Lonchura striata: one gene and its partner. The protein of the gene in region 1 purifies or fractionates together with the protein of each later gene. This does not show direct contact. Links are inferred from orthologs where the notes say so. Each region holds a gene or a part of one and is shown on either strand. Other genes may lie near its edges. The genes, in order: OSBPL8 and GLG1.

Region 1 (3,906 bases):
TTTAAAGCATTGCTCTGTCACAAGGCAAGACACAGATGAGTCATGAATTGCACACATGTGCAGGACTGCTTCCCAAAGCTAGACTCAGTCTATTCTGTAGACTGCAACCACCCTTGTGAATTAAAGCTCCACAGTATGGAAGGCTGGGTGAGTGGCTCTTGTCAGAGTGAACTATTTAATTCCAGAGCCCTCCTTTGGAAAGAAGTATTGTTTAATCATAAAAAGCTTTGTACAAAGAAACTTCAATTTTGTTTTCATCATTAGATATGTTCTCTGTATTATTCAACATTTTATACCTCATTGCTGAGAAGACAAAGCAATCTTCCACAGGCAGGAATATATACACATCTTTCTACAGAAGCATTAATGAGTACTGAGAAAAGAATAGTCAGCCTTTTAATTAACTCTGATTCCAAGGAACAGAATGAAAAGATTGTGAGTGGAACATTAGCCCAAGATAATGGACTCCTAGTCACACTGCTGCATAATTGAGATACAGCCGATGATTTTATGAAAATTGGATGGAGCAAAAGACTTATTTCTGGAATTGGAAACATTAATCCTGTGTCAACTTTTCTGCATCACTCGTTGCGAGTCAGTGCTGAAGGTGCCAGATATCTTCTGAATGCACTGACAGTACTTTCCCTTAAAGTCAGTGAAGATGCTCTGCATTTAGCAACTGTTTCAGCACTGTCAACTGGCAGGTGATAACAATGTAAGGTACGTCCTGATGCTACTTAAAATAGAGTAATATGTGTAAGTTGCTCATGGTGGTTTTATTACTGAGGACATCTTTAAAAGTCCTAGGAGAAGAGGAGGTTCAGGGGTAACGTTGCTGCTGTCTCCAACTCCCTGAGAGGAGGATGTAGCCAGGTGAGGGTCAGTCTCTCCTCCCAGGGAGCCAGCAACAAGACAAAAGGACATAGCCTTAAGCTGCAGCAGGAAAGATTTAATTTGGACATTAGGAAGAATTTCTTCATAGAAAGGGTGATTAGACATGGGAATGGGCTGGCCAGGGAGGTGGTGGAGCCACCGTCCACCCGTGGAGGTGTTTTGAGAAAAGACTGGATGTGGCACTCAGAGCCATGGTCTAATTGACATGGTGGTGTTGGCTCATAAGTTGGATTCGATGATCTCAGAGGTCTTTTCCAACCTAATTGATTCAGTGATTCTGAGAAGTCACATTTTGAGGCGACTTAAAAAAAAAAAAAGCAGTGAGGGGTTCCTGTTGTGACGCTAATCTGAGACCACGTCTTGCAGTTTTTCGGGCATGCTTCAGACCTCATTTTATTCCCACTGTTACTACTTTTCCGCTGCCTAGGTTATCCCGTAACACCAGGCTGGGCGATGTCACAGCGCCGGCGCGCCACCCGAGCCCGTGCTTCTGCCGCATTCTGCGCGGCCGGCGGCGGCAGGGCCGGGATTCCTCCCGGGGCAGCCGCCGCCCTCACCGCGCGCAGCTCCGCGGGGCGGGGCCGCCGCCGCCCGCGCCTGCGCGCGCGCCCCCGCCGCGGCGGATGAGCGGATCAGGCGGCGACCGGGCGGGGCCGCGGCGGCAGCAGCGGGAGCGCGGCAGCGGGAGCGCAGCCCGGGACGGCAGGGGAGGGGTCCCGGCCGCCGCCCCCTCCCCTGCACCGGCCGGGCGCCGCTCCGCGCCTCCCGCCGGACCTGCTGCGGGCAGAGGTGAGGGCAGCGGCGGCTCCGGGGGCAGCGCCAAAGCGACCGCGGCTGCGGGCGGGACGCGTGTGCCGCGGTGCCGCCGGGGCCGCGCTGCCGTGCGTGCCGCCTTCCCCCGGCTGCCGGGCGGGACGGGGCTGCCGGGAGCCCCCGGGGGTCTCCGGGAGCGCCGGGGCCGGTGAGTGTTGCCGGGCGCCGGCCGAGCGGCTGCTCGGTGCGGCGCCGGGCCGCAGCACGGTCCCGCGGAGCCGGGCGCCGCGGCCGGGGCTCGCGGCCGCGGGCCGGCTGCTGCCAGTGCGGTGCGCGCAGCCCGGGCCCGCCCGCCGGCCGCCGTTGAAACCGGCGGCGTTCAATGCAGTTAGAATGTGGCTGCCGGTAACCCGCTTCCCCTCGCACTGGGAAAATAAGCGTGCGCTGTAGCCGTGCCCTGGGGAGCGAAACCTGGCTACTGTCCCCCGTCCCGTGTGCTGCCGGCCGCGCTTCTGCATCACTGTTAGCAGGCCTTGCGAATGGCTCGCTTCCTAAAGAGCCTGGGCTCCAGGGGCGTTTTGCTCAGCGAACGAGCAGATCGTTCCGATGAGGTTCACAGGGTTGCTTGAAATAGTGGTGTTCACAAGTTGTGCGTTGTATCAGTGCGCTGTAGAATTCCCCTGATTGGAGGAAAGCCATCAATTCAGTGTGTCACTGAAGATGCTTCTAATGTGTTTTGTGTTGCCACTGTCCAGAACAGAGTTCTTGGGATTGAAAGATCTGGATACCTTTTAAAAGGAGTTGATTTTCATCTGGCGGCTTTCATAACTTCATTTATTTTAACTTCATCATAGGGAATACAAATCTATTTGATCTGTTAAGTGTTAATGCAATCGGGACCCTGCTAATGCTCATTAATTATCAGCCTCAGTTTTGAAGTTCGGAAAAGACAGGAGTTAGTACCGAGTTGTTAGTCTACAGTGAGCATAATGGCCAGCAACAGAGCTGTGCAGAGAGCAGTGCTTCCCACTTGTCTTTGTCAGGTCTGTTGAGTGAGCGTTTAGAGATGATGCAGTTCTGGTTTTCAATGATGCAGAAAAGATGAGAAGAGAACATAGCTTTGTTGGCTATCAAGTAACTGTAGAATGGACTGGTGAAATTTTCTGTGTGCTGTTTTGTTTTCGAATTCCCTGCAAACTTCTGAGGTAATTTGTTGTTTTAGCCTAGTACTAGTTTTTAGTCAAAACTCCTGAGCTTTGAAGTAATTTGTTTTATGATTATACAACTTTCCAAAACTTGGCTGTAGAGCCCTCCTTTCCAGATGCTGGTTTGATGTGTCTACTTCAGAATTGAGACTAGTTGAGGGAAAAAGAGATGTGTGATTGTGATCACTTGTGGATCCTTTGACTCTTTTTTTTCTTTCTTTCCTTTTTTTTTTTTTTTATTGTGGAGTTGCAAAGATCTTAGAATCATTTAGTTTGGAAAATACTCTAAAAATCATATTGTAAATAAACCTAATATTTTGAGGCTGATGTAGCTTAGGCCTAGCAATGCATAATCCTTTTTCTACTTTAATCATGGGTCAGGGAAAGAACTCCTTTTAAACACGCTACTTTGTCAAATTAGTTCAAAAATTACTTTTTAGTAAAGGTCTATCCAGTTCATATCTCTGCTGCATGTATAAACCCCCAGAGTACCTCAAACTCTGTTGATGTTTGTTAACTTTTACAATAGAAGGAGGAATTTTCTGATGTTGCAGGAAAGAATGTTGGACTCGTACACTTTTTATGAGGAACTGAACTGGGACAGAAAGACTTCAGTGGTCCTGTTTTTTTTAACAATGCATTATCTCAGGTTTTGCTCCAAAGAGAAATAAGATGCAGAAATGAAAGGAAGATAATTTTGGGAGAAGGGAAATTTATTGAAGATGGCTCATTTTTAGATTGCCTTTTCTTAAATTGAAGTGATTGAGAAGGGTCTGAGGCAATGCAGCATGTACCCATTTTCTTTCCTCTTGTCTGCTGTTAAACTTTCAAATAAATGGTTGTGCAACTGCCTAGTAAAGAAACTATGCATACTTTGTATTCTGTGAAGTTGTGTTCCAGCCTCCTCTCTGTCCAGTAAATCTTTGCATAGAACACTCAGCCAAGTTTTAATGAACTGTATTGAGTCAGTTATTAGGCTTTCATCTCTTCACTGATTACTGCTTTGCCACCTGCTTCCCCACTGCATTTCCCACTTATTCTGTTTCCTGAAGCA
Region 2 (3,906 bases), on another chromosome or scaffold:
ATTTTGTCTCTGATGCTCTGTAATTTTTTGTCGAGATCGTGTACTTTTTCTTTGTCATTACGTGTTTTTATTTCATTCTCTATTTTTACTTCATTCTTCAGTATTTTTTCTGCATGCTTTTTTAATCTGTTTTGCTGTATTTTTTCTTTGTTCTTATGTATTTTATCTTTGAGATCCTGTATTTTTTCTTTGTTTGTCCACATTTTTGTTACATACCCTTTTTGTACTTCATTGTTCTTTTTTTCCTCTTCGATATCCTCTAATCGTTCTGTCTTCATCTGTATTTTCATTTCGTTCTTCCGTATATTTTCCTTGATCCTCTCTATTTTTACTTTGTACTCCTGTATTTTTATTTCATTCTTCTGTATTTTTTCTTTGATCTCTTGCATTTCTTCTTCAGTGTTCTTAATTTTTGCTTTGATCGCCTGCATTTTCTCTTCATTCTTCTGTAATTCTTGTTTGTATTTCTGTATTTGTTCATCCTTGTCCAGACTTGGCTCATCAACCAGCTCCCTAGAACTGTCATCAGACACTTTCGCAAAGGTCAGTTTCCCCATTACGTCTCCCGCCTCCTCAGTCGCTGGGCAGCCGAAGCGCGAGTGGGAAATGAGATTTCGGGCAAAATCTGCAGCTACTGGACACCTGCTGAGGGAGGCGCTGGCCCGGCTGCCGCCTTCCCGGGGGGCTGAGCACGCCCGGGCTCGGCTCCTGGCGCCCCGGCACCGCCGCTGGCTCGGCCGTGTCGCCCCGCGTGGCTGTGGGGTGGCGGAGGCCGCTGAGGCGATCCGGGAGCCGTTGCGGGGCTGCGGGAACCGTTGAGGGGGCTGCGGGGCGGCTGAAGGGCTGCGGGGCAGCTGAGGGGTGGTGGGGTCCCCTGAAAGGCTGCGGGGCCGCTGAGGACGTGCTGGAGCCCTGAGGGGCGGCGAGGGCCGTCGGGCCCGGGGAGCCGCGGGGACCCCGGGGTGGCGCCTCGTCCTCCTGAGGCGACAACGGCCGAGGCGGCGCCGCCGCGCGTGCTGCGGGAGGGGCCACAACCGACCACGCCCCCTAGCGGGAAAGGGGCGCGTCCCGCTGGGGCGACGTCACGGGCGCGCTAATTTGCATACGCCGTGCGTGCCGCGGGGTGGGCGGGCGGACGCCGGAGGTGGCGGATCCAAGATGGCGCCGTGCGGACGTGTCCGGAGCCGCTGCCCGGGCCCGGCGCTGCTCCTGCTGCTGGCGCTGGCGGCGCGGCCGGCGGCGCCCAGCGCTCCTGCCGCTCTTTCCGGCCCCGGCGGTGCTCCGCCCGCAGCGGGGCAGCCGGTGGGGCCGGGCGCGGCTGCCCCGCGAAGTGCCCGCGGCGGCGGGTCGGGCAGCGGGTGGAAGCTGTCGGAGGAGGCGGTGTGCCGGGAGGACGTGGTGCGGCTCTGCTCCAAGCACAGCTGGGCCAACAACCTCGCCGTGCTCGAGTGCCTGCAGGATGTCCGCGAGGTGAGGGTCGGGCCCGGGGCCGGGCCGGGCCTGCCCGCGGCGGCGAACAAAGAGCCGGGTCCGCGCCCCGCCGCGCCGCCGCCCCGCGTATCCCTCATGGCTTGTGTTTTAAAAATCGGAGTTTGCGCTGCGGAGCTCCGTGAGGGGGAGCGAGCTGCCTGCGGGGTGGCCGTAAGGGCTCCGGCGAGCAGCTCCTCTTCATCCGCACCTCGGGGCTCGGCGCTGCCGCCCGCGCAGCGCCCTGCGGGCAGGGAGAGCTCTCGGGGATGGCTTTGTGCTCCGGCTCCGGTGCTTGCGGGGTTCTTCTTTTCTGGAGGTCTGGGAGAGCCCAGCCTGCCTAGTGCTGAGTGAAGGCGCCGTGCTCATAGCAGCAGTGACCTGAGATGTTTTTTTCACGTTCAGGCTCCCACCTTCGCCACGAACTCGGCTGCAGAGGCGGCTGCTTTCCAGTCCTCGGTTGTGCATGTATGAAACTCGATATATAATCGTTGGATTTAGCTGACTTTATGGGGAGGTTAACAGGACAGTCTGTGTTGTTCCCATACACCTGTCGTGAGCAGTTTTAACTCCAGTTCAAGAAAAAACTGAGTTGCCTCCTCCGAGTCTTCCAGCTCCATCTTTTCATTCATTCCTGGGCTCGTTTTGAAGCAGCCTTTGGGGACGTGCCTTTAGTGAGCTGTCCTGCCTAGTCTCGAGGTCTATATATTCTTGGCTTCTCTGCTGTAGAGTCCGGGAATGCCAGACTGGGTCAATTTTATTGGTGTTTTGCCCAATAGGGAATGCGATTAGGAAAAACCTGGGCTTGTTTTTCATCCATTTTTATGGGGACAGCAGATGGCAGTGGCAATGGGTACTCTAATCAAAGGGAGTCTTGAACCAGTAAGTGTCAGTGATTACTTCTGGCTTAAAATGCAAAGCTAATTTAGATTTTAATCTAACTTCATGTTTTAATTTTGTGTGGGTAGTTAGTAAGACACTCGTGGTAGGTGTTTTAAATGAGTCTTGCTGCAAAATCTGTCACAGGTATGAAACATTCCACTATGTCCTTTATGAATAACTTGTCCCTTGCTGTTCCGTTCACCTGTCTGAGATCTTTTGGCCCCCTTTTTGGGAGGCATCCTGTCTGGGAGGATCTCGGAAGCTGACCTCACAGGCAGTGGCTCACAAGCTGCCAGCCTGCCAAAAAGGCAAGCTCTTGTTCCTTTCTTTCCAGTTGCATAGCCCCTCCCTACTCTTTTCACAGTTCCAGTGCTTGTTGGTTTTCTGCCATTTTAGCGAGGTGAACCCTTTTGTGGTCTAGTTTATTGGTTTTCTGCTGGAATAGTTTTGCCATTTTTCTGAGTTAAAGCACAGAGGGGGGCGAGTGCAGGGCTGGTACACAGGGCTGTGCAGGGAGAGGGATAAGATCAAATCAAAGGTGAAGGAATGTTTTGCATCACGCTTTATTTTCAGCAAGTACAAACCCTTATGTTAGCTCTGCATATCTCCTGAGAACTCCACTCTTTGAATGTTATGTCTGCTTGTGGTTTTCCCATTCCTAAGCCTACCTTGATGTCAGTAGTTTGCTGGCTCTTGATCTTGTCTAGCTGTAGTGTTGCCTGATGCTCATTGCTGAAGGTGAATTTTTTCCTGGGTGACATCCCAAGCATCGACAGAACATCTCAGGGCTCTTCTGGATTGAGTTTTGTTTCTCTGAAGGTGCCACTCTGGCCTTGCCCTTATTTGTCTGTCAGCTTGCAAAGAGCACTGTCAGCTGATCTTAACTCTCAACACTTTGCCCCCAGTAACACTGATGTGATGGGCTGCATCCTGACGTAAAAATGACTTCACAGGGTGCTGCTCCTAGAAATTAATTAAAATAGCTGACTTCTGTGTATCCCTACAGTTTAACACTTGATATTTAGACTGTGAATAAAGGTCTTGAGTTGTAAACATTGGGTAGCATTTCAGCTGCTTGGGAATGGGGTCAGATGTCGTCTCAGACATTTTCTTTGCATTGGAGATGACAGCAGAGGAAAGAAGTGACGTATTGTCTGTTATTGGTATAACTTCTACTTTTGACTCTAGAGCATCTGACCACTTGTTTGGACAATACCAGAAAAGTGACAATTACGTTTTAAAATGGGTGAGGATCTAGTCTGAGTCATACAGCCCACTTAAAACCAGTCAGGCTATAGTAAGTGGAGATTTGGGGGAGTTGTTTTGTGTGTGATGGTCTCAGTGTGGACAGTGTATGGACACTGCTGCAAGTAGCAGGTAAGATTTTTAGATGCAGTTAGGCTGCAGAAGTAGCCTTTTTTTCTCTAGGTGTTTAAGGTAATCTTACTTTTCTCATAAGAAATGTTTCTCTAAAGTGGAGAAAATTCTGTTTGAAACTGAGAGTGTTACTGTGAGGATTATCCATTGATTTTTCTTAGTGTGATACAAGTAGGCTAG

The links.
Region 2: the proteins of OSBPL8 (region 1) and GLG1 purify together in Homo sapiens (co-immunoprecipitation; 3 studies listed by BioGRID and IntAct, with this or other methods). This does not show direct contact. The link is inferred for Lonchura striata from reciprocal best matches to the Homo sapiens genes OSBPL8 and GLG1.

The regions. Positions count from the first base shown.
Region 1 is NC_134607.1:47,136,495-47,140,400, reverse strand, and holds the start of OSBPL8 (oxysterol-binding protein-related protein 8), read left to right. Parts: upstream 1-1,549; 5' UTR 1,550-1,683; intron 1,684-3,906. UniProt on the Homo sapiens protein: Lipid transporter involved in lipid countertransport between the endoplasmic reticulum and the plasma membrane: specifically exchanges phosphatidylserine with phosphatidylinositol 4-phosphate (PI4P), delivering phosphatidylserine to the plasma membrane in exchange for PI4P, which is degraded by the SAC1/SACM1L phosphatase in the endoplasmic reticulum.
Region 2 is NC_134615.1:15,920,721-15,924,626, forward strand, and holds the start of GLG1 (Golgi apparatus protein 1), read left to right. Parts: upstream 1-1,149; 5' UTR 1,150-1,158; coding exon 1,159-1,470; intron 1,471-3,906. UniProt on the Homo sapiens protein: Binds fibroblast growth factor and E-selectin (cell-adhesion lectin on endothelial cells mediating the binding of neutrophils).